Stegostoma tigrinum: one gene and its partners. The protein of the gene in region 2 purifies or fractionates together with the protein of the main gene of each other region. This does not show direct contact. Links are inferred from orthologs where the notes say so. Each region holds a gene or a part of one and is shown on either strand. Other genes may lie near its edges.

The links. The genes of interacting proteins can lie anywhere in the genome.
Region 1: the proteins of sec13 (region 2) and sec23a fractionate together in Homo sapiens (co-fractionation; 3 studies listed by BioGRID and IntAct, with this or other methods). This does not show direct contact. The link is inferred for Stegostoma tigrinum from reciprocal best matches to the Homo sapiens genes SEC13 and SEC23A.
Region 3: the proteins of sec13 (region 2) and nup43 purify together in Homo sapiens (affinity purification with mass spectrometry; 3 studies listed by BioGRID and IntAct, counting the BioPlex papers as one, with this or other methods). This does not show direct contact. The link is inferred for Stegostoma tigrinum from reciprocal best matches to the Homo sapiens genes SEC13 and NUP43.

Annotation. Positions count from the first base shown.
Region 1 is NC_081363.1:58,441,941-58,449,846, forward strand, and holds the start of sec23a (protein transport protein Sec23A), read right to left. Parts: upstream 3,055-7,906; 5' UTR 2,931-3,054; intron 1-2,930.
Region 2 is NC_081364.1:60,401,604-60,409,360, reverse strand, and holds the start of sec13 (protein SEC13 homolog), read right to left. Parts: upstream 3,015-7,757; 5' UTR 2,992-3,014; coding exon 2,842-2,991; intron 1-2,841. Other genes in the region: cullin-associated NEDD8-dissociated protein 1-like, read left to right, coding at 5,934-6,001. UniProt on the Homo sapiens protein: Functions as a component of the nuclear pore complex (NPC) and the COPII coat. At the endoplasmic reticulum, SEC13 is involved in the biogenesis of COPII-coated vesicles.
Region 3 is NC_081357.1:93,685,911-93,693,798, reverse strand, and holds the start of nup43 (nucleoporin Nup43), read right to left. Parts: upstream 3,055-7,888; 5' UTR 2,969-3,054; coding exon 2,858-2,968; intron 1-2,857. Other genes in the region: E3 ubiquitin-protein ligase SHPRH, read left to right, coding at 7,336-7,888. UniProt on the Homo sapiens protein: Component of the Nup107-160 subcomplex of the nuclear pore complex (NPC). The Nup107-160 subcomplex is required for the assembly of a functional NPC.

The sequences.
Region 1 (7,906 bases), on a different chromosome or scaffold from region 2:
TGGAGCAGGTGTTTAAAACAATAGTCAATGGGGGAAGGAAGATGGGGAGATGAGGAAGGAACTGAGAGCAAGAACAATATTGCAGAAAGGCTAGAAGGGTGAAACAGCAAAGTTACAAACAATTTATAACAATTTATATAGGGAGTAAAAAAGATCCGTAAAGAGAAGAAATTTGAGTTGGAAATGCACAAAGAGCTGAGATAAAAATTGATGAACTACATAAAGATAGCAATGTAAAACAATATACAAGCGTTGGCAGAGAGATTATTTAACAGCAATGTTGTTTCAGCTAAAGCAGGGCTGTAAGCTACATATTCCTAGTTACAAAAAAGTAGGTTAGATCATGAAAAAGGGAAATGTGGTGACATGACTAATAAAATATTTAATCACAACGATGATCATGGGGATAATTCAAAAGTTCAACTTTGCATGGAATTTAGAATGAAAGCGACAGAAAGAAAATAGTGGAAGAGGTGCACAAAAACAGCAAGAACATGAATGATTTTGTTTTTCAGAGATAGGGAAAAATAATGAGTAGTAAAGATACAGTCAATTTATTACAGGTGAGTCTTTACAATGTATCTGAGATTGTTTTATGTCAGTGCTTATTATTTTCCCAAAAAGTGCCAGAGCCAGTTATCAAAAATTAAGAAAGGCCAAGTAGGCAAAGCAAAGTGTGGAAAACACTTAACAAGTTTAACAGTAAATGAAATTACATTTAACATAAAAGCTGAAAAAATGATTATGAAATAAACAGAAACTGAGATAAACTCGAGAGAAAATTTAGTGGATATGGATAAGCAAGAGATGATATAGGTACAAGCTCTACAAGGAACAGAGTTGCAAAAGCTGGAGTCCTTTGAAAGAGGAAAGAAATTCAAATAAGACTCAAGATAAAAGCTAGTCAAGAAAATCAACTAAGCATAACATTATAGAAAAGCAAAAAGGGAAATCAGGAGAGCTAAGGAAGGTCTGCATGTAGTAAAACAGAACATGTGCAGCGCTGTAACGTTCTACGTTCTATAAAAACAAAGGCCTGGGGTAATTAAATATTGCATAGAAAGCTATTCAGAGACAGATACTAAATCGATGCATTTCAAGAGTTTTCAACAGGGATGTAGTTAATTAAGTTCCAGAATACAAAATTTACAAAACAATATTGCACTAATAGTAGTGCACAACAGGACGTGTTCAAAATTATACTGATTTACGTTAGCAAATTTTAAAACGACTCGCTCAGTTACGTCCCAATAATTGCATAGAGATCTTGGTGCTGTTTTGAAGTAATTTAGCAAACAACATGTTTGTTAGTAATTGAAACCGCTACTTCTCCAAGGACTTCAAATGGAAACAATATTAAACAAATGTAGCCCTTTCGGGAATATTCTGTCTAAATTTGCTTTAGCCAAGTGATGCGTTTTTTGCAACACCTGCCTTGCTCTTGCCACTATCTAAAGACTTAACACTGATTCTTGGTGAAATTTGTATTTGTGTATACTTCTTTCATTTCAGTACAGTTGGCCTCAACTAAAGTCAGGGTTACGTTCTTGAAAATTGACTTTAACTTAAGCATTTAAAAAAATGATTGATGTTCTACTGAGCCTTTTTTCACAGAGAACAAAATTAAAACATTGTACCTGTACTCTTCTGAACTGAAGTGTAGTGTCATTTTAAGTTGCTGCAATTCCAACACTGATAAATAAAAATCTTAAAGTGAACTGAAAAATATGGTTAAAATTACTACTTCTATCGCACTGATGATTAACCAGGCTCATCCAGCAGCAGCTGGTCAGCACAGGGGTACTCACAGGACTACCTACACTAACCAACCTCTGCCATAAATCGACCCCAGGACCTCAGTTTAAATTCAGGAGGGAAGCAAGGGCCCAGGATCAGAACTAGCAGTGAAGACCTGACCTGAGATCAAGGACCTGTTTAACTTTAAATTAGAGTAGTCAAAAATCCCAGATAACATGCAAAGTATGTAGATTTCTCATATTCCCACAGATACTGGAGCAATCAATAGATCATAGGTTACTCCAGAAAAATCCAAGTACCTGAGAGAGTTTGTGGTGAAGAACAGAGGAACTTCGTACATCATCTCCTACAGCTCTGGCATATATAAACAATACCTTGCATACATTTACAAACTCCACACACTAGTAATATCAGACATCTCACCAACATCTGACACAAAACACCTTCTCAGTCCCTCCCTACTCCACCAGCCCAATGACAACAGACACACAGGCAATCCAGTGACTCTGGGCATCTCACCAATCCTAATGACAAAATTCCAGGGGCATCAAGCACCATAGACCCTTTTCTCCGACTCCAAATCTCACACCCACCTTCAGCTCAGTGTCCACCCAAACCCAGTGTCATTGGCACGGTGTCCGGTGCCTGCCCAATCCATCACACGGTGCTCGGATATTGACACCGAGCAATTTACACAGTCTATTCACATCTATTCCCACAAGCACACCCCCACCCCAACCAACCTACCCGACTCCCCGAGGCCAGTAACATGGAATGCGGGGTGGGGGTAAAGTACCCAGTGTTTCTGGCCTCGCTGCGGTGGGAAGATGTGAGGTGCCCAATGACACCGGGCACCTCAAACCCCTAACCGTGAGCCCAGCGACACCTCCCACCTTAAGAGTTCAGCGATACCGGGCATCGCTCACCCTCCACCAACTGCCCAGTAACAGAGGGCACTTCAAACCCTTGTGGCCCCCGACACAAGGCACCTCTCTCCCTGCACTCAGGGATTCAGTGTGAGCAGGTACTTCACACCGGGAAGCCAAGTGAAACTGAGCAGCTCACCCACAGATTCAAACCGCTACCGGATCCAGAGTGTAACTCTAGGCGCAACATGACCCCGCCACCGTGATCTAAGTTCGGTGCCGGTTATGGCGACAGCAGCCACTCACCACAAGAAGGCCTATCACACCCTCCGGCCTCAGGCACAGCAGTTACCGGCTCTGCACGCACAGCTGACGCGGTCAATATGGCAGACTCTGCCACGTAGCGACAGGAGGCGACTCCCGCCCAGTGGGGGCGTGGCCAAGGCGCGGGGCGGGGCGTAGCGCTGAGCGTGAAGCACCAGGTGGGGGCCGGGCCTAGCGCCGTGGGTGGGGCAGTTGATAGGGGCGGGGCTTTGGCGGGTAGAGGGCGGAGCCATACTGCCGTAACAGCCATGGGGCTACTGCGCAGGACAATGGCCGAGGGAGGGGGAGGACCAGAGGAAGGTGAGACCAAACCGTGGGCGGAGACGAAGCTGGAGGTGGGAATGAACAAGCGAATGCCACACGTTACCACCCAGACTCAACCTCGTTCGGAACCAGTGTGTCACAGTATGCAGAGCACATGCACCGAAGATCAATGCTGCAGGTGAGCCCAAGAAGGAATTCTACTCCAGCCTTGACCGATCTCTCTCACGGGTCCCTGAGGCGGGCAAACTAGTCGTTCTTGACGACTCCAAGACCAGAGTCCGCAGAAGTACATACTTTGGGGCGATGTAATCAGAAAAGAGAGAGTTGCAAAGCAAAACTCAATGGCACTCGTGAATAAAATGCCACAATCACATTCCCCTCATTACCAACACACTGTTCTGCCAAGGGACAATTAGAAGACTGTGCAACTAGCAACTGTGTTCCAAACAGTGGTACCTCGTTGACTACATTATCATCACAGCAAGGGATCAGAAAGATGTCAAAACCACCTGCGCTATGACAGGAGCCGACAACTGCTGGACAGACCATCGCCGGATCCAATGCCAGGATTAATATAAATAGAGCTCCACCGTAATAGAAGCAGTGTCACAAGAAGTTCAACATTGAGGCTCTCAAAATCCAGAAAACATTCGCCTCATGCAACCAATTCCTCTCCATAGACTTAGTGACTGTCAGCGACACAGAGCCACAGGATCGTAACAGTCTCTGGTCTGCCCTCAAGACTACCATTGTCAATGCCTGCAAAAACTCAAGTCGATTTCTCAAACAGGAAACACCAAGACCAGTTTGATGAGAATGATCAGGAGATCTAAGAACTGATAAGCTGAAAGTGCATTGCATTTCTGAGTGGAAAGCAACAACCACATTCTGAAGAAAAAAGTCAGGCTTAAAGGCAGAGATCCAACAAAAAACTTGTGACGTTAAGAATAACTGGTGGGTGGAGGAAGCATTTCAGGCCAAACGATTGTCCAACAGCCATGATGTGCAAGGTTTTCTCTATGCTATCAAGACCACTTTTGGACCAAACACCTAAGGCTGCAACCCACTGCTGGCCAAGGACAGAGTGACAAAGACAAAGAAACAAAGCTGGGGAGCACTTCAGAAGCTTCTCACCCAGGACGCTGGCATGGATCCGGCCATGCTTGAACATATCACCCAGCACACTACATGCCATGAGCTCAGCAACACCCCAGCCTGCATGAAGTAAAAAAGGCCATCCGGCAGTTTAACAGCAAGGTTGCTGGAGCATACGGTATCCCTTCTGAGGCACTGAACTGTGAAGGCAAAGTGCTCCTGCTACAGCTACATGCCCTTGTCTACTTATCAGGAATGAGGAGAGCATCCCGAGAGCTCTGAGATGTTACAGTCATGAACATTTTCAAAAAAGGGAACAAGTAATTAAAGGGGAATCTCCCTGCTGTTGACTGTTGGAAAAGTCATCATTCAAGATCCTCCTCAACAGTCTCCTCTCTGTGGCTGAGGAACTCCTCCTAGAATTGCAGTGTGGCATTCAGCCACAGAGGGGCACACAGATGTGATTGTTGCTGCAGGAGAAATGCAGAGAAAAGAACCTATCCCTGTACAGAGCCTTTTTGATCTTACAAAGGGCTTCGACACTGTCAATGAGGAAGCATGATAGAGTGTCCTTCTCTGCTTTGATTGTACCACAAAACTTTATCATCATCCTTTGCCTGCACCACAACAACATGCAAAGTTGTAGTAATGACACCACCACTCATCCGTTCTCCATTGAGACCAGTGTCAAGCAGGGCTCCATCATAGTCCCAACAGTTCTTGATCCATCTCACTGCAGTGCTTCACCTCAAGGCCAATAAGCTCCCTGCTGAAGTGGAGCTAACTTACAGAACCAGCAGGAAATGATTCAACCTCCATCACCTTTAAGCCAGAACCACCCAAGCAATGTCATCAAGCTGCAGCATGCGAATGATGCCTGAGAATGTGCAATCTCAGAGGACGTACACCAGGCCATCGTTAACACCTTTACCGATACAGATCAAAACCGGAAATGACATTACTCACCATAACAGACAAGTGGAGTAGAATAACTCCGCTTCACCGGAGGCTCCAATAACGATGTCACCTAGCACGGTGATGAAACATCTGAACAAAAACAAGCCAGCTCGGCAAGCAAGTCAAAAACCTCAAACCTTTACCAAGGCATATGAGAACATGGGTCTCACCCTGAATATCCACCAAATTGGCCTGGCATTGTTGAGCGAATGCCCAATCTTCATGGTCCTCAGGGAGGCCTGAGAGGAAAGTTGACAACTTCCAATACTTCAGGAGTGCCCTGTTGGCCAAAGCAACTATTTATGAAGAGATCCAGCACCACCTGGATCTTCCGCCTTCAGCTGTCTGAGGAAAAGGGTGTTCAAGAACAACATCAGATCTGACACCACTTTCATGATCTGCAGAGCCAAGGTGGTTCCCACCCTCCTATATGGCTCTGAGATGTGGGCTGTTTACAGCAGACACATTAAGGTGCTGGAGCAGTACCACCAACGCTGCCTGTGCAAGATCCTGCGCAACCACTGGGAAGAAAGACACACCAACACCAGCATCCTGGAATAGGCCAATATCGAAGCACTGACCACACTTGATCGGCTGCAATGGGCTGGGCGCATCATCTGTATGACTGACACGAGACTCCCCAAGCACATGCTCTACTCTCAGTTCTGAAACAGCAGGCGAGCCTCAGGTGGACAGAGGAAGTGATTCGGCGATGTTGTCAAGGCCTCAGTGGCAAAGTGCAGCATTCCTACGTACTTCTGAGAATCACTGGCTCAAGGTAGTCCAAAGTGGAAGACGAGCATCTGGAACCTTGGGATGTACTGTCAGAAAAAAGCAAAGCCAGGCAAAAACAGCATAAGGAGCGGGCTGCCACACTAATGCCCCACCCACCTCTTCCTGCAACCACCTTCTGCTGCAAGTGTAACAGAGCCTGCAGAAGTTGCATTAGTCTGCACAGCTACCTATTGACTCACCCTGAGATTTGAAGAGAATCATCCTCATCTGTGAGGGACCTCCAATGAATGAATAAATGGGGTGGGGCTGAGAATGGGAGGATCAGTGGGCATAAGACTCCTGGAAAGCACCTCCTGTGGATATGAAGCTGGTACTCAGGCAGGTTTCCTATTGTCCTACGCTGCATTTCCTGGTAGTTTGGTGATCCTGGTCTCCTCCCATAACCCTTCATCCCTTTAGCCACAAGAGCTACATCTGCCTCATTTTGAAAACATAATGTTCTGACCGAAACCAGTTTCTGTGGAAGTGAATTCACAGGCTCACCACTCTCATCTCACTATTATTAAAATGTGACTCCTGGTTCTGGACTCTCTCACTACCAGGAACGTCAATCTTGCATCTAACCTGTCTAATCCTGTTAGAAACCAATAAAATTCTATGAGAATTCTTCTAAACACCAGTGTTTACAGTTGTAACCAACTCAATTTCTCCTCATACATTAATCCTGTCTTTCCTGGAATCAATTTGGAAAATCTTCACTGTGCATATTCATCCACAAATGAGGAGACCAACACTGCACACAGTAGTCCAGATGTGGCCTTACCAATGCTCTGTATAAATTGCACAGCCAACTGCACCTCCATGCTTACTTTCAGTGACTCGTACAAGACGATGCTGATGTCTCGTTGAACATTTTGATCTCTCAATATACGGTCAGTCAAACAATAATTTACCTTTCTATTTTTGCTCCCAAAGTGGATAACCTCTCATTTATCCACATTGTCTGACATTTACCTGCTTAGTCGGGTTGTCCAAAACACATTTCAACATCTCTGCATCCTTTGTGTCATCTTAAAATTAAGATATTATATTTAGTTGCCAAATCTAAACTATTAACATATTATGAACAGCTGGGGTCCCAATTACTGCAGTACCCCACTAGTTACTGCATGCCATTCAGAAAAAGACCCTTTGTTTCTTATGAGATAGCAAGAACTGCAGATACTGGAATCAGAGATAACACAGTATGGAGCTGGAAAAACCTGAACCAAAACATCAACTTTCCTGCTCCCCTGATGCTGCCTGGCCTGTTGTGTTCTTCCAGCTCCATACTATATTATCTTTTATTCCTTGTTTCCGGTCTGCTAATCAATTTTCTGTCCATGTCAATACTAGCTCCAATTGCATGCATTTTAATCTTACATATTAATCTGTTACTTGAGACTTTGCCTAAAACCTTCTGTAAACCACTAGCTCCCTCTGATCAATTCTGCTAGTTACATCCTCCAAGAATTCCAGAAGATTTGTCAAGCATGATTTCCCTTTTGTAGATCAGACTGTGTGTCTGCTTCTACCACTGTTTTTTCAGTGTACTTGTATAATATTCTTGATAATGGACTCTAACATCTTGCTCACTACCGATGTTAGACTGACTGGTCTATAATAATTTTCCCTTTACCCCACTCTTCATAGTGGGGCTGCATTAGTTATACTCTATCTGTAAGAACTGTTCGAGAGTCTAAAGAATCTTGTAAGTTGATCACCAATGCATCCACTATTTCTAGAGCCACCATCTGGAGGCCTGTGGGACATAGCTCAACAGGCCCTGGGGATTTATCAGTCTTCAATCTCTCCAAAATAGTTTCTGGATTAAACAGATTTCCTGCAGTTGCTCCCTGTCTCTAAAC
Region 2 (7,757 bases):
AATACAAGGTACACCCATATATTTCCAGTATCCAGTAATTCATGTTAAATATTCCAGGCGTAACCTCATAAAATGCTTCCCATTCACCAGTTTGACTTGTTCACATGGCTGCGATCCTGTGGCTTCTCTGAATAACTGCAACTGCTGCCATATTTTGCATTGTCACCTGTTTGCAAACTGCACTCAACCCAACCCAACCTACCATTTCCTCAATAATGCACTTCAATATGGAGACTTTATACACCATACACAGAAAATTTATAACATCTCTCATTGTTTGGTCTTGAATCTGTCCTAGTTGGTGAAGGATTAGACTCTAACACACATGCTCAAATACTTTTTTGAAGCCCCGAATCTAGAAACCACAATTAAATAAATTTGTCAACAGACTTATTCCCTCAGTGCAAAGTTATTAACAATGTAGAATCTCACAGCACACGGAGACAATTCACCAAATCCGATTCGTACTGCTCCCCACTGTAATTAATTCTTTTCATGTATTCTAAATTCCCTTCAGAAAACACGCTGACACAGGCATGACGGGCCAAACAATCTCATGTGCTGTATCATTCTAGAAATTGATGAAGCTGCTTGTACCATTCTTTTTGAGCCCCCTTGACTGTGCAGATGAGGTCTTGATTTGACATATCTTCAGAAAGATGGTAGCTCCAAGTGTGTGGCACTGCTTTATTATTGTCACAGCCTAGATTCTGTGCTCAAGTCATGAACCCGAACTGAACGCCAGCCATTTGAAACTTACCATATAGGACTTCCAGAGACAACAAAACATTGCAATGTCCCAAGGAAATGAAAGAAATTTGTTTGCCTTTTTTTCTCCAAAGGTAGTGGAGTCAACACCAGCCTATCACCTCTGGCTGGAGGTATCAATGAATGGCAAACAGCAGTTGTTAGTGCAGCCTGTTGTGAATCCAAGGCTCTCCAAAGACGCTTCAAGTGACCCTTGCTCAGGACAGACCGAGAGGAGGGGCTTAGAGCCATCCTAAATTATTACTGATCCCAGTCATCCCAGAGATGATCCACTGGAGACTCCTGTTGCCAATAGTTTCTGTGGTTGGGGTTCATGAGCATGTTTTTCTGATGAAGGGTCTAGGCCCGAAACGTCAGCTTTTGTGCTCCTAAGATGCTGCGTGGCCTGCTGTGTTCACCCAGCCCCACGCTTCTATTCTTAGCTCCTGCCTTCGGAACCAGATCATCCCAATGGACTACAGCCCACATTCAAGCCTTCCCACATTTGGCCCCAACCGTGACAATGTCTACATTCAGAACATTGAGACCCTTAAGAAGTGTTTCTCCCTACGATTCCTGAAACATTTTCTGAAGGAAGGTCTAGACCCAAAACATCCACCTTCCTGCTCCTCTGACGTTGCTTGGCCTGCTGTGTTCATCCAGCTCTACACCTTGTTATCTCTATATTCAAGATCTGTCTGAAATGGGAAGGATCACAAGCAGGAATAGTCAACGAAGCTGACTAAGGCAGAGCGCGCTCAGAGAATTACTGTGAATAAGATGTTCGAGCTGAGACTGGGAGAGGGAACAAGGTATAGAGATGGACAAACACAGCAGGCCAGGCAGCATCAGAGGAGCAGGAAAGCTGATGTTTTGGGTCTGGACCCTTCTTCTGAAATCAATGAGGGTCCAAAGTTCAGAGATTGCAGATCATTAAATCATAGATCATAGAATTCCTCCAGTGTGGAAATTGACGCTTCAGCCCAACAAGTCCACATCAACCCTTGGAGCATCCCACCCAGATCCATCCCCCTATAACCCACACACCCCTGAACACTACAGACAATTTAGCACGGCCAATCTACCTAGCCTGCACATCTTTGGACTGTGGGAGGAAACCAGAGCACCCAGAGGAAACCCATACAGACACAGGGAAAATGTGCAAACTCCACACAGACAGTTGCCCGAGGCCGGAATCGAACCCAGGTCCCTGGCGCTGTGAGGCTGTAGTGCTAATCACTGAGCCACCCCCATATGGTGGTCATTTTCTCAAAAAGGGTCCAGCCCTGAAACGTCAGCTGTCCTGCTCCTCTGATGTTGCTTGGCCTGCTGTGTTCACCCAGCTCCACACCTTGTCGTCTCAGATTTTCCAGCATCTGCAGTTCCCACTGTCTCTGGGAGGGGAAAGATATGTTCGGGACTAAGTTAGAGAGGAATGGGTGACTCCCGACCTGAGTTGTACAGAATAGGGAAGGCAATTACAAAAAAACAGAGATAATGGGAACTGCAGATGCTGGAGATTCCAAGATAATAAAATGTGAGGCTGGATGAACACAGCAGGCCAAGCAGCATCCCAGGAGCACAAAAGCTGACGTTTCGGGCCTAGACCCTTCATCAGAGATGATATGCTCCAAGCCACAACGGGGAAAGGCCACCGTTTAAAGTATTTTTACCAAAGTCCATGGTGGGGTGGGGGTGGAAGGTCCATTCAGTTACTAGACCCTCTCGGTGTCTAAAACGTATGTGAATGTAAACCTGTACAAGTAAGAAGTGGTTTGGGGTTTTGATTTTGTGACTACGGGCAATGCCAAATTCCAGTGTTTGTTATTCGCGTGCAAGGCTGCGCAGAAATCCTTTCATAACCGTACGTGGAGTCATTTTTAATGAACGTGGAGTATTTCTGCAATAAAGTATAAGGACTGGGCCTGATTGGAGTCCCCTTCACTCCTGACACAATCCGAGCTGGGGTGGGGAGACACAATCCGAGCTGGGGTGGGGAGACACCCTCCTCAGGTTCCCTCCCTCACCGTCTCCCCCCACCCCACACAGGCCTGAGCCTCTCCGGCCGAGCCCCCCGGGGCGAGGAGAACTCACCATGGCTCCGCCGGGCAGGCCGCTCCGCTCGCAGTCTCGACGCCGGGCCCACAACCCGCTTCCGCTCCTCACAGACGTGGCAGCCCGGAACCTGTCCCGCTCCACAAACCGACCGACTCCCGCCGCCAATCGCAAACAAAGGTTCCGCATGGAGCCGCTGCACTGACACAGTTCACAGCGCCCTCAGCATCAGTATCGCCCTGAGCAGCACTAGTGCCCTGAGTATCAATGTCGCCCTGAACAGCAATAGTGCCCCAAGCATCAGTATCACCCTGAGCAACAATAGTGTCCTGAGTATCAATATCGCCCTGAGCATCAATAGTGCCCTGAGTATCAATAGTGCCCTGAGCATCAATACCACCCTAGGCATCAATACCATACTGAATATCAATAAAACCCTGCGTATCACCAGCACCCTGAGCATCACTAGCAACCTGAGCATCAATAGCACCCTGCGTATCACTAGCACCCTGAGTATCACTGGCATCTTGAGCATCAATAGTACTCTGAGCATCACTAACTGAGAGATCATATGAAAGCAGCAGAGAAACACACAGAGGCAGACATCTAGTGGGAATGACCACTGAGAGACCATATACGATCCAGCAGAGACACAGACAGACAGAGTGAACAACTGGGCATGATAAATGAGAGATATTAACACAATGACAAGAAATATGAGTAGCACTGGACTGACCTCAATAATCATTCTCAACAGACATCTCTCTCTGACAGTGTGTGCTGGATTCATATGATCCCTCAGTGATCTTTCCCAGTATATGTCTGTCTTTGTCTGCTGCATTAATATGATGTCAGTGGGATTTCCCAGTAGATTTACAATCATAGAAGAATCATACAATCCCTATGATGCACAAAAAGGCTGTCCAGCCCATTGAATGTACACCAATCCTCAGAAGAACATCCCACCCAAACACAGGACCCTGACCCATCCCCATGACCTTGTATTTAGCATGGCTGATCAACATAAACTGTACATCTTTGCACTGAAAGGAAACTGGAGCACCTGATGGAAACTCACATAGACATGGGGAGAATTTGCAAACCACACTGTCACCGAATGCTGGGATTGAACCTGAGTCCCTGGTGCTGTGAGGCAGCAGTGCTAACCACCTACCAAGCCATTGTGCTGCCCCAAGATTTCTGTAGCTGCTGGCTTAATATTATTTCTCATTGATTATTCCTAATAGAGCTCTTCCATTGTCTGGGTTTTCAGGTTACTATGATCTCTCAGGGCTCATTGACAGCGGATTGCTTTGTCTGAATCTGCTGGGTTAATATGATCTCTCGGTTATCATTCCCAGTAGATCTCTTTCTTTATCTGCATTCATTGGTTTAATGTGATCCCTCAGTGATCATTTCCAGTATACCATCCCTCCAAATTTGCTGGGCTATTATGATCTCTCAGCAATCATTGTGTGTAGATCTCCAGCTCTGTCTGTTCTCGGTTGATATGAGTTATCAATGATCATTCCCAGTACATCTCCCCCTCCATGTCTGCTAAGATAATATGATCTCCCAGTCATCATTGCCAGTTGATCCCTCCCTCTGTCTGCATCTCTGCTGGGTTAATATGAGCTCTCAGTGAACATTCCCACTAGATCTCTGACCCTGCCTGTGTCTATTCTGGGTTAATATGATCCCTCACTGATAATCCCCAATTGATCTCTTTGTCTGTATTTGCTGAGTTAATATGAGCTCTCAGTGATCATTCCCAGTGGATTTCTCCCTCTGCCTTATGTGTTAATGTGATCCCCTCAGTGATCAGTCCCAATAGATCTGTCTCTGCTGGGTCAATATGATCTCTCAATGATCGGTCCCAGTAGATCTGCCTCTGCTGGGTAAAACCCAGTGATCAACCCCAGTGGAGCTCTCCCTCGGCCAATGTCTGTTAGATTAATATGATCTCTTAGTGATCGCTCCCAGTACATCTCTCCCTCAACTAGTGTCTTCTGGGTTAATATTATCCCTCAATGATCATTCCCAGCAGATCCCTAACTCTGTCTGTGTCTAATCTGAGTTAATATGATCCCTGAGTGATCAGTCCCAGTAGATCTGTCTCTGCTGGGCTAATATGATCTCTCAGTGATCATTGTGTGTAGATCTCTAGCTCTGTCTGTGTCTCTTTTTGGTTGATATTATTTATCAATGATCAGTCCCAGTACTTCTTTTCCCTCCATGTCTGCTGGGATATGATCCTCAAGTCATCATTGCCAGTAGATCTCTCCCTCTGCCTGTGCCTGATGGATGGGTATGATCCCTCAGTGATCAGTCCCAGTAGATTCTCTTCCTGTCTATGCCTGTAGTGTTAATATGATCCCTCAGTGATCAGTCCCAGTAGATCTCTCCCTGCCTGCTCCTGAAGTGTTAATATGATCCCTCAGTGATCAGTCCCAGTAGATTCTCTTCCTGTCTGTGCCTGTAGTGTTAATATGAACCCTCAGTGATCAGTCCCAGTAGATCTCTCCCTGCCTGCTCCTGAAGTGTTAATATGAACCCTCAGTGATCAGTCCCAGTAGATCTCTCCCTGCCTGCTCCTGAAGTGTTAATATGAACCCTCAGTGATCAGTCCCAGTAGATCTCTCCCTGCCTGCTCCTGAAGTGTTAATATGATCCCTCAGTGATCAGTCCCAGTAGATCTCTCCCTGCCTGCTCCTGAAGTGTTAATATGAACCCTCAGTGATCAGTCCCAGTAGATCTCTCCCTGCCTGCTCCTGAAGTGTTAATATGATCCCTCAGTGATCATTCCCAGTAGACCTCCACCTCCCTGAGTCTCCCCCTCACAGAGGGATTCTCTGGTAGATACCACTCGACAGACCGAGGGGGAGGGAGAAACGTCATTACGTTCCCCTCTGCTTCCCTGTCTCGCCCTCCCCCCCCAGGGGCTGGCGGAGATGGTTTGTGCCCGTGACCTGTGACCCGGTTTAGGGGCGGGGCGGCTGCCGGCGCCATCTTTTCCCATGGACGGTCCTCGAGGGGGCGTCAGCAGCAGTTTCTTGTTGTTGTTTCAGAGAGGGACGCACTGAGGGGGGGGGAAAAAAAGCTCGGTGCCTGCAGCTCACGCACTGCCCGCCATGGCCAATGTGTCCTATCACATCTCCAACTTGCTGGAGAAAATGACCTCCAGCGACAAGGACTTCAGGTAGGCCCCGTCCCCTCCCCCTCCTCCTTTAAACACTCTGTTATACTGGGGCAGCAAGATCCACCCCATTCCCTTACACTGGGGCAGCACGACCCCAATCCCAGCTGACAGTCTGCCCCTCCCCCACCCCATTCCCCTACACTGGGGCAGCACGACCCCAATCACAGCTGACAGTCTCTTCCCCCCCCCCCCCCCCACCCCATTCCCTTACACTGGGGCAGCACGACCCCAATCACAGCTGACAGTCTCTTCCCCCCCCCCCACCCCATTCCCCTACACTGGGGCAGCACGACCCCAATCCCAGCTGACAGTCTGCCCCCCCCCCCACCCCATTCCCCTACACTGGGGCAGCTCGACCCCAATCCCAGCTGACAGTCTGCCCCCCCCCACCCCATTCCCCTACACTGGGGCAGCACGACCCCAATCACAGCTGACAGTCTCTCTCTCCCCCCCCCCCCCCCACCCCATTCCCCTACACTGGGGCAGCACGACCCCAATCACAGCTGACAGTCTCTTCCCCCCCCACCCCATTCCCCTACACTGGGGCAGCAAGATCCCAATTCCAGCTGACAGTCCCCTCACATTCAGACTGGGGCAGCAAGATCCCAATTCCAGCTGACAGTCCCCTCACATTCAGACTGGGCAGCAAGATCCCAATTCAGTCACATCCAATAGGCATCACTCTGGTTGTTACAGCATATGTTTAGCAATGCAGTTGTGTGTCAGCTTGGAGTATGCATACAAGTTAAAGGAACAGGATGGGAACCCACAACATTTGACTTGAAGGCAAGAATGGTGTCAAGCTGATGACTTAACTCTTTGATCTCGAGTTTTTTTTCAGTTAGGAGTAAATTACTGTGGATGCTGGAATCTACTGAAACCAACAAATGCTGCAGATCACAGCAGTCAGGCAGTATCCATGGAAAGAGAGAGAGAACGAGCTAATGTTTTGCGTCTAGGTGATTTTTCAGAGCTGACATGAAGTGTGAAGGGGGCAGTGTTTATGCTGTTGTGGGGGGAGGGCAGGGATGGTATTTGGAGTGTGGAGTGTAGAGTGCTGGGGGGAAAAGGATATTGATTGTTCAGATTAAGTGATCAGAATGTGAGAATGGCAGAACAATGGTGTGTCTGACTGCCAGATAGGTCAGAACAGACAGTCCAGCTGGGGTGGGAGAAGGGGAGGGAGGACATGGTGACAGAGAATGCAACAAAGCTAAAAGAAAGGGAAGGAATGGGAGTTGGTTCATAATTTGAAGGTGTTGAACTCCATATTAAGTCCAAGAGGTTGTAAAGCGCTTAGTCTGAAGATAAGATGTAGTGCTTCGGTTTGCACTGTGATTTTCTGGAGAACTGCCGCATGCTGAGGACAGACAAGTAGGCATGTGAGCAGGACGCTGTTAAAGTAACTGGCTATGGGTAGGTCGGGGTCGTGCTTGTGTGCAGATTGGAGCTGTTCTGTAAAAGCGGTCACCCAGTCTGCATTTGGTCCCTCCAATGTAGAGTAGTGTGGCGAATACAATAAGCAAGATTGGAGGAAGCTGCTTCACCTGGAAAGACTGTTTAGGCCCTTGGATGGTGAGCAGGGAGGTGGTGAACGGGCAGGTGTTGAAACTTCTGCAGTTACATGGGAAGGAGGATGTGGTCTTTGTGGTTGATGAGTGGGCTAGGATGTCCTGGAGGGAATTGGGCAGAATTGCTGGGCCAGCATAAATTGTCTATCCTTAGTTGCCCTTGAGAAGATGTTGGTGAGCTAGCA
Region 3 (7,888 bases), on a different chromosome or scaffold from region 2:
TGAGGAAGATAAAATTATTGCTCATGGGGACTTGAATGCTCAAGTCAGAAAAGACACACAACTCTGGACAAGGAGTCGGGTATTGCAACTCTGAAAGGATTCACACTCAGCAAATGTACATCACCAATACATTTCTTGCTCCGAAAAGATAAATTCAAGAATTCTTGGAGGCATCCATAATCAATGCACTGGCACATAATTAATTATGTCATTGCTCAGCCCAGAGACCAAAAAGATTACCAAAGTGATGACCTAGTGCAGACAATTGATGGACAGACCACTGACTCCTCCCCTCCCCAATGTCCATCAAATGACACTAGAAACAGATGAAGGTGAAGAAACAGGAATAGATGGGATTCTAGTGGAGATTTTCAAAGTTGGAGGAGCAAAGCTTACCTGTCATCTCCATCAACTGTTTCTGAAAATCTGGACAAAGAAGAGATCCCTGCCAATTTCAGGGATGCTGCCATCGCCACTGTCCTCAAGAAAGGAGACAAAATGGTCTTGGGAACTACTGAGAAATCTCCCCTCATTCCATCACCAGGAAGATCATCACCTGAATCCTTATTAACTGCCTTCTCCCAGACTCAGAGGAAACTGTTCTGGAAAGCAGTGCGTTTTCTGACAGAAGTGTGGAACTGTCATCATGATTTTCACTGCTCGGAACTCCAAGAAACCACCAACCACTCTACGTGGATTTCATCAATCTGATCAAGACTTTTGACTCAGTCAGTTGGGAAGTGTTATGGAAGACCCTTGCAAAGGCTGACTGTCCAGTGAAATTCATCAACATCCTCCATCTCTAGCATAAGATAGTAGTGATGAGCCTCCGTCAGGAATATGACAGAATCTTTTGAGGTCATCTCAGGGGTCAAGCAGGGATATATCATCACCACTGCCCTTTTCTCCATCTTCATCACCAGAATTCTTCAGTTTCTTCAAGAACAAACTTCCTATTAATGTGAACATTGTCTCCAAGATGGATGGAAAACTCTTCAACCTTAATCAGTTGAAATCCAAGAAGAAAATGACATGGATATTACTTATTGAATATTAGTATACAAATGGCAATGTCATCTCCACTATCTCAGAACAGAATCTTCAAACCATGCTTAATGTCTTCAAGGAAGTACCTGAAGAATTAGTTTCAACCTTGAAGGCTCAAAGTTTTACCAAGCTCTCCTTGGTCAAGTTCAGTCCATCCCTCTATGAAGATTAATGAAGAAATCCTCCAAACTACTAAACATTTCCTTTATTTGTGAAGCTACCTCTCATCAATGGCTGATACCAATGCAGAGATGCAACATCACATTCAATCTACGAGTGCTGCTTTTGGACAACTAATGATGAGAGTATTCAATGTTTGTAACATCCGTGCTGATGCCAAAATCCTTGTGTATAAGGTAATCATTCTTCAGACTCTTCTACATAGCTCTGAAACTTGGATTATACATAAATGCCACCTTAAGATCCTTGAGAAGTACCATCCACATTGTTTGAGATGGATTCTCCTTATGATTCAGGATGGTAGGTGTACTAACATTAGCATTCCTTGAAACGTATAATACAACAGCTTCAAGGCTTCATCCAGAATCAATTCTGGTGGGCTGGCCGTATGCTTAGGATGTTTGAGTTCTGACTGTCAAAACAAATCTTCACCCAGCTCAAAGGAGGCACTCGAGCAAAAGGAGGACATAGGATGTGTTTTAAAGTCTCCTGAAAGCTTACATCAAGAATGGCAAGATAGATGTGAACACATAGGAAACCCTCATTCAGAAGAAACTGACTTGATGGAAACTCCTGTCGAAAGCCTGTGGATGGCATGGTGGCTCTGTGGTTAGCACTGTTGCCTCACAGTGCCAGGTTTGATTCCACCCTCACGTGACTGCCTATATGGAGTTTGCACACTCTCCCTGTGTCTGCGTATGTTTAGGCTTCCTGCCACAGTGTAAGATGTGCAGGTAAGGTGGATTGGCTGTGCTTAATTACCCAGAGTGTCCACAAGTGTGTCAATTAGGTGGATTAGTCATGGGAAATGCAGGGTTACAGGAAAAGGGAGGGGGATGGGACTGGATGGGATGCTCTTTGGAGAGTGGCTGTGGACTTGTTGGGCCAGATGGCCTATATCCACACTAATTCTATGAAGAGTCACAATTCTTTGAGAACACCCATCAGAAAAAGGGGGTATGGAAAAGGAACCTGAGAAATGCCAATGATCAGAAGGCCAAGGACCACTTCCACCTTCAGTAAACACCTAGCAAATATGTGGTCAGAAATGTTGGTCGAGAATCGGGCTCAGCCACGCAAATACCCACAGAACACATGATTAATGACCACAGAATGTCCTTGGTTGATCAGCATACTTGTTAGCAAGTAATTGTCCACGACTGTACTTCACTTGCAGCTTATATTAGTATTCTTATTGAAGTTCTGTATTTTGTCATTTACCCTCACTTCTCCACTGCCAAGTTTGGTGTCACGTGCAGGATTTTAAAGTGTACAGTATTTTCAACTCCTACTTCAAACTATTTGCAATATTGATATCCCAGGATGGGGAGCACCACTTCGATTTTTTTTTGCCAGTCTAATTAATTGCTGCGAACCACAGCTTTCTCCTCTCTTTTAAAACTAGCTTGGTTTCCATTCTTTTGATCTTTTTAAAAACATTTCGTGTATTTATAAAGAAGAGGATGCCGCATGCCTTTTATCCAGGTTGACTGCTGCCGGCGGACTTCTGTCTTTTCTCTTGGGGGGTCCCTACACCCACCGCCCTCGGTCCAATTCTGTTCCCCTCTCCTTCTCTCCCGGATGACCATGCTAACGTATTTGTCCTTCCCTCGGCTGCTGCTCTGCTCACCTCAGCATCCCAGGATCCGGTGGCGAAGCATTCAGGAAGCTGCAGACTGGAGCCGGATACCGGGAGCCAGCGGACCCGGCTGATCTTCTGTGAAACATAGCGAGCCTCCATGTCAACGGGGAAAGCCACGACCGCGGGCCGGCAACTTCCGAGTTAACACAGACAACTTCCTGGAAAATATCATCAACATCCGGGGGTCAGCCGTCCAGCTCTTCCGGCCCTGTTTATTGTTTCTGAACCGTTTATTATTTATTTGGAAACTTCAGGCTCTGGGGTTTAACTGTGAGTAGCATCGATTATCAGCGTTAGAGTGATTATAAAATCCACGATTGGTATCAGGGAGCGGATGTCTCAAACTGAGGGCACTGTCTGCCCTTTCATATAAAACCCTACCGTTCTATTTGCGCAAAGAACAGGGCGATTCGCCCCGGCCTGGTATTCATTCGTCAGTCAGTATCACCCGGAAAAGCTGATTGTCTGTCCCTGATCGCGTATCTTGTGAAACATTGAGACAACAGGGTGTAGAGCTGGATGAATACAGCAGGCCAAGCAGCATCAGAGGAGCAGGAAAGCTGACGTTTCGGGCCTAGACCGATATACCCCCATTCGGGCCTAGGCCTTCATTTCTGAATATGGATCTAGGCCCGAAACGTCAGCTTTCCAGCTCCTTTGATGCTGCTTGGCCTGCTGTGTGCATCCAGCTCTACACCTTGTTATGTCGGACGGGTCAAGGAGGTGGGGGGTGGAGCCGGTAAAGGTGAGTGTAGCTGGGGAGTTACGGTGGGGATTGGTCAGTCAAGGGAAGACGGACAGGTCTAGGAGGTGGAGGTGGGGGTGTGGGTTAAGGTGGGAGGAGTCGGTAGGTGGGAGAAAGGACAGACAGGTGAGGGAGGCGGAGACGAGCTGGGCTGTTGTTGGGATGCGGTCAGGCGAGGGGAGATTTTGAAGCTTGTGAAGTCCACATTGATACCATTGGGCTGCAGGTTTCCCAAGCGAAATATGAGGTGGCTGTTCCTGCAACCTTTGGTTGGCATCATTGTGGCACTGGAGGAGGCACCCTAACCTCACACTTATGTACTTACCGTCTCTCCGGAGCTTTTTAAAAGTGGCTGTCTGTGATGATTGCTGATGCTATGAAAAAGGAGTCACAGTTTACTTTCACCCCACAGCCTGCAAGATATGGACCTGCCAGAGTAAAAGTACAACACCACGTTAATGAAGGAGCCATGGTCAGAGTCTCCTGTCAGGAATACAGAGCTTTTTTGTTCTGTTTAAAAAGAAGGCGCAGAGTGGCAAATTATGTGTACTTCTGCTCCTCAGAAAATCTGACCAGAATGTGTTGGTGTGTCTGCAGGGTCACTGTGTGCAGCTCCCATGTGTGCTTCAGAAATAATTATCCGGCCAATGTTTCTAATCTAAAATGGTGATTTTTGTTTTCCTTTAGAAAAAATTGCTTCCAAAAATCTTGCACTTGTTTAGATGAGATTCCCTACAGTGTGGAAACAGGCCCTTCGCCCAACAAGTCCACACCGCCCCTTGCAGCATCCCACCCAGACCCATCCCCCTATAACCCACATACCCCTGAACGCTACAGGCAATTTAGCATGGCCAATCCACCTAGCCTGCAGATCTTTGGACTGTGGGAGGAAACCGGAGCACCCGGAGGAAACCCACGCAGACACTGGGAGAATGTGCAAACTCCGCCCAGACAGTCGCCCGAGGCTGAAATCGAAGCCGGATCCCTGGCTTGAATTTAACATAATGCTTTCTCTTCTGCGGCTTTAACTTTTAACAGAAGAAAATTGATGAATACATTTAGTGACCATGGTTTTCTCATATTCATCAATGTAATTCTCTCAGGGCAGTTGATAGACTGTACCTCTTCCTGCCATCTAACAGGACGTATGAGTTTCTTTGATTTTTTTTCCAACTAATTTCTAATATGTTGGAGAACAAATCTGTTTCAATTTAGATATGTTGGAACTAATGAAGGTGTTATTGTTACATAACTTACTAAGAACTATTTAACATGATAAGATAGAGAAAGTTTAAACTTATGATTGTTTAATCTCTAAAATACTTGGGATTAAAATGGTTTTTGATTCAAATGTTTATTTTGAGTACTAAATCCTCCTTGGTGTCTTATCCATGTTGTTCATTTGGACTGATTGGTTCAATGTTTAGTTTTTAAAGGAAGAGAGAATTTGAATCAGCAGAATGATGAATTGTGCAACACACTTGTTCAATTTTCTGCACAGTCAGGTAGATGCCAGTGTTGTAGCTGTACTGAAACAGCTTGGCAACAGGCGCAGCCAGCTCTGGAGCACAAATCTTCAGTACTGCTGCCGAAATGTTGTCACGGCCCATAGCCTTTGCAGTACCTCCAGCTGTTTCTTGATGTCCTATGAAGTGAATCTACTTAGCTGAAGACTGACATTTGTTACAGTGGTAACCTTTGGAGGAGCTGAAGATGGATCATCCAGTCAGCATCTCTGGCTGAAGATTGATGCAGATACTTCAGCCTTATCTTTTGCACTAGCGTGCTGAAGTCTGGTATTATGGAAGATAAGGAAATTTGTGGAGCTGCTTCCTCCGGTGAGATGTTTAATTGTCCACCACCATTCATGACTGAATGTGTCAGGAACGGACAGCTGAGATCTGATCGTTGGTTGTGGAATCTTCTGGAAAATTTAGCATAGCCAATCCAACTGACTTGCACATTGTTAGACTTGTAATTGCAGATTTTTTGATTTAATTCAAATTCCGTCATCTGCTGTAGTGGGATTTGGCACCGAATACATAGAACATTTGCATTGTCTCTGAATTATTAATGCAGCCACGATAAACTATACCATTATCTCCCCTAATGAGGTAAGATATGAGACTACCCACAACAGGATCACTGAGTATTATTTTAATAGTGAAAAGCTAGGAACAATGGAAGTTGAAAGTGATGTGGGGTCCATATATAAAGATAGTTAAAATGTCATCATCAGGAACAATAAATTATCAGAGCTGGAATACAAAGGTGATTTTGCTACAGCTATGCAAAGCCCTGATCTAGATCACATATAAGTACCGCATACAGTTCTCGACAGCACACCTTCAGTGGCCTAGAAAGGTGTGCAATGCAGAATATTCACCAGAATAATACCTTGGCTTCAAGGACTACATTATCGAGGAGGATTACTTAAGTTGGTCTTGTACTATCTTGAACATAGAAGGTTATGAGTGATTTGACTGAGGGTTTTAGGGTTTAGAAAGCAATTGCTAGGATAGAGAGGAAATGTTTTGAGTGGTAGGATGAGAGGATGTGGTCATAAAATTAGATACAGTCAATTCAGACCTGAAATTAGGAAACATTTATTCATGCATAGGGTGGTGGACCATACCATAACAATACATGTTAGTTCAATCAATGGCTATAAATCTGAAATTCAAAGATTTTTGATAGTCATGGTTATGAAGGATTATTGACCAAGGTCAATGGATGGAATTAAGATACAGATCAACCAACTTCACTAATTGACCAAGTCAAAAGTGTAACATGAATCCATTCTGGAGGGAGTACGATGAGCACAGAGGACTGAAAGAAATAGAAGGATCTACTGATTGGGTTATGTGAAGGTGGCTGGGGGGTGGGGCTTATGTGAAGCACAAAAATTGTCAAAGACTGGTTGGGCCAAATAACCTGTTTCTCTAATTTATATTTCATATAATTTGCTCAATGTTTTGATTTATTTTTGGAAGAAATGCATGAGCTGTGATGCTTCGTTAATTTGTGTCTTTTATATAAATGTTATGATTGATCTGGACCAGTTGCTTTTTCTGACAGTCATAATGTACTCTGTTTCTCATTTGTTTGTTTCCACGATATACATATATATTTTCCATTTGCTTAGCTTTAAACCATTTCCAACTAAATGTTTGTGAATTAATTAAGTTTTACAAAAGGCTACGACTGAACTAAATTGTTAAATGTAAGATACAATCTAAATATGCACATTTGGCAGTAAAAAAAATGACAAATACATGGCAGGTGAATAAATGTGAGGTCAAAAACAGGAAGACAGATTATTATCTGAAAGGCAATAGATTAGTAATGGGGAGGACCAGAGAAACCTTAGGAGATCACAGTGAAATCAGGAATCACTTCTTCACATGAAGAGTGGTGAAAATCTGGACATCTCTCCTCTATCATCCCCAATATAAAAGCAGTTTTCAGTAGAAAATTTCAAAATTGAGAATGATAAATGAGTGGGGATTTTAAGGGTTACAGAATCAAGGTTGGATTGAGATACAAATCCATGCTGATTTAGTTGAATAGCTCAATAACAAAATGAACGTCCTCGTCTTGTGTTGCATTCCTAACTGACTGTTCAGAGCAATAAATGCTTCATTCATCCTTTTTTACTAGGAGAATTTCATATTTTTATACTTTTTTGTTTGCAGCTGTGAACTTGCACTAAGCTGGTACAATGAGCAACAGAAGGAAGCGTGCAGCCCCGGTGCGAGTAGACGAAGAAACAAAAAAAAAGCTGAGCTGGAATATGTGTGATGACTTGAAGGATCTCCATGCACTTGATCGATCAAATGACTGTAATAATCCCTTAGCCTTGAGCTCAGGTCTCCCAGGATACAGAGAGACAACCCTTCTCCAGCCTAGCAGTTTGAAACAGGATGAGCCATTTAATATCTCAGCTGTGACTCAGGTCGAGGATGGAGAAAGTCATCTTTTGCCATTAAGTACCACCACCCAGATCAGTCTTTCTGTCTCCCCTGGCCACTTGGGTGAAGAGTGGCGAGCACTGCTGCACAGGTTTACAGTCCAACTTGCAACACGGCAAGCATTTCCAGAGGAACTGTGGTTTCTCAGCATAGGCTTGATGAAGACCAGTGCTGATGATCAGCTGCAAGTCTCAATCAAGAGGAAATGTGATGATTCTGAAAGGGATGACAACGAAGAATTCATAAGCTGTGTAAGAACTTCACTCACTTTTAAGATGCTGGAGGACCTAACATGGCTTCAGA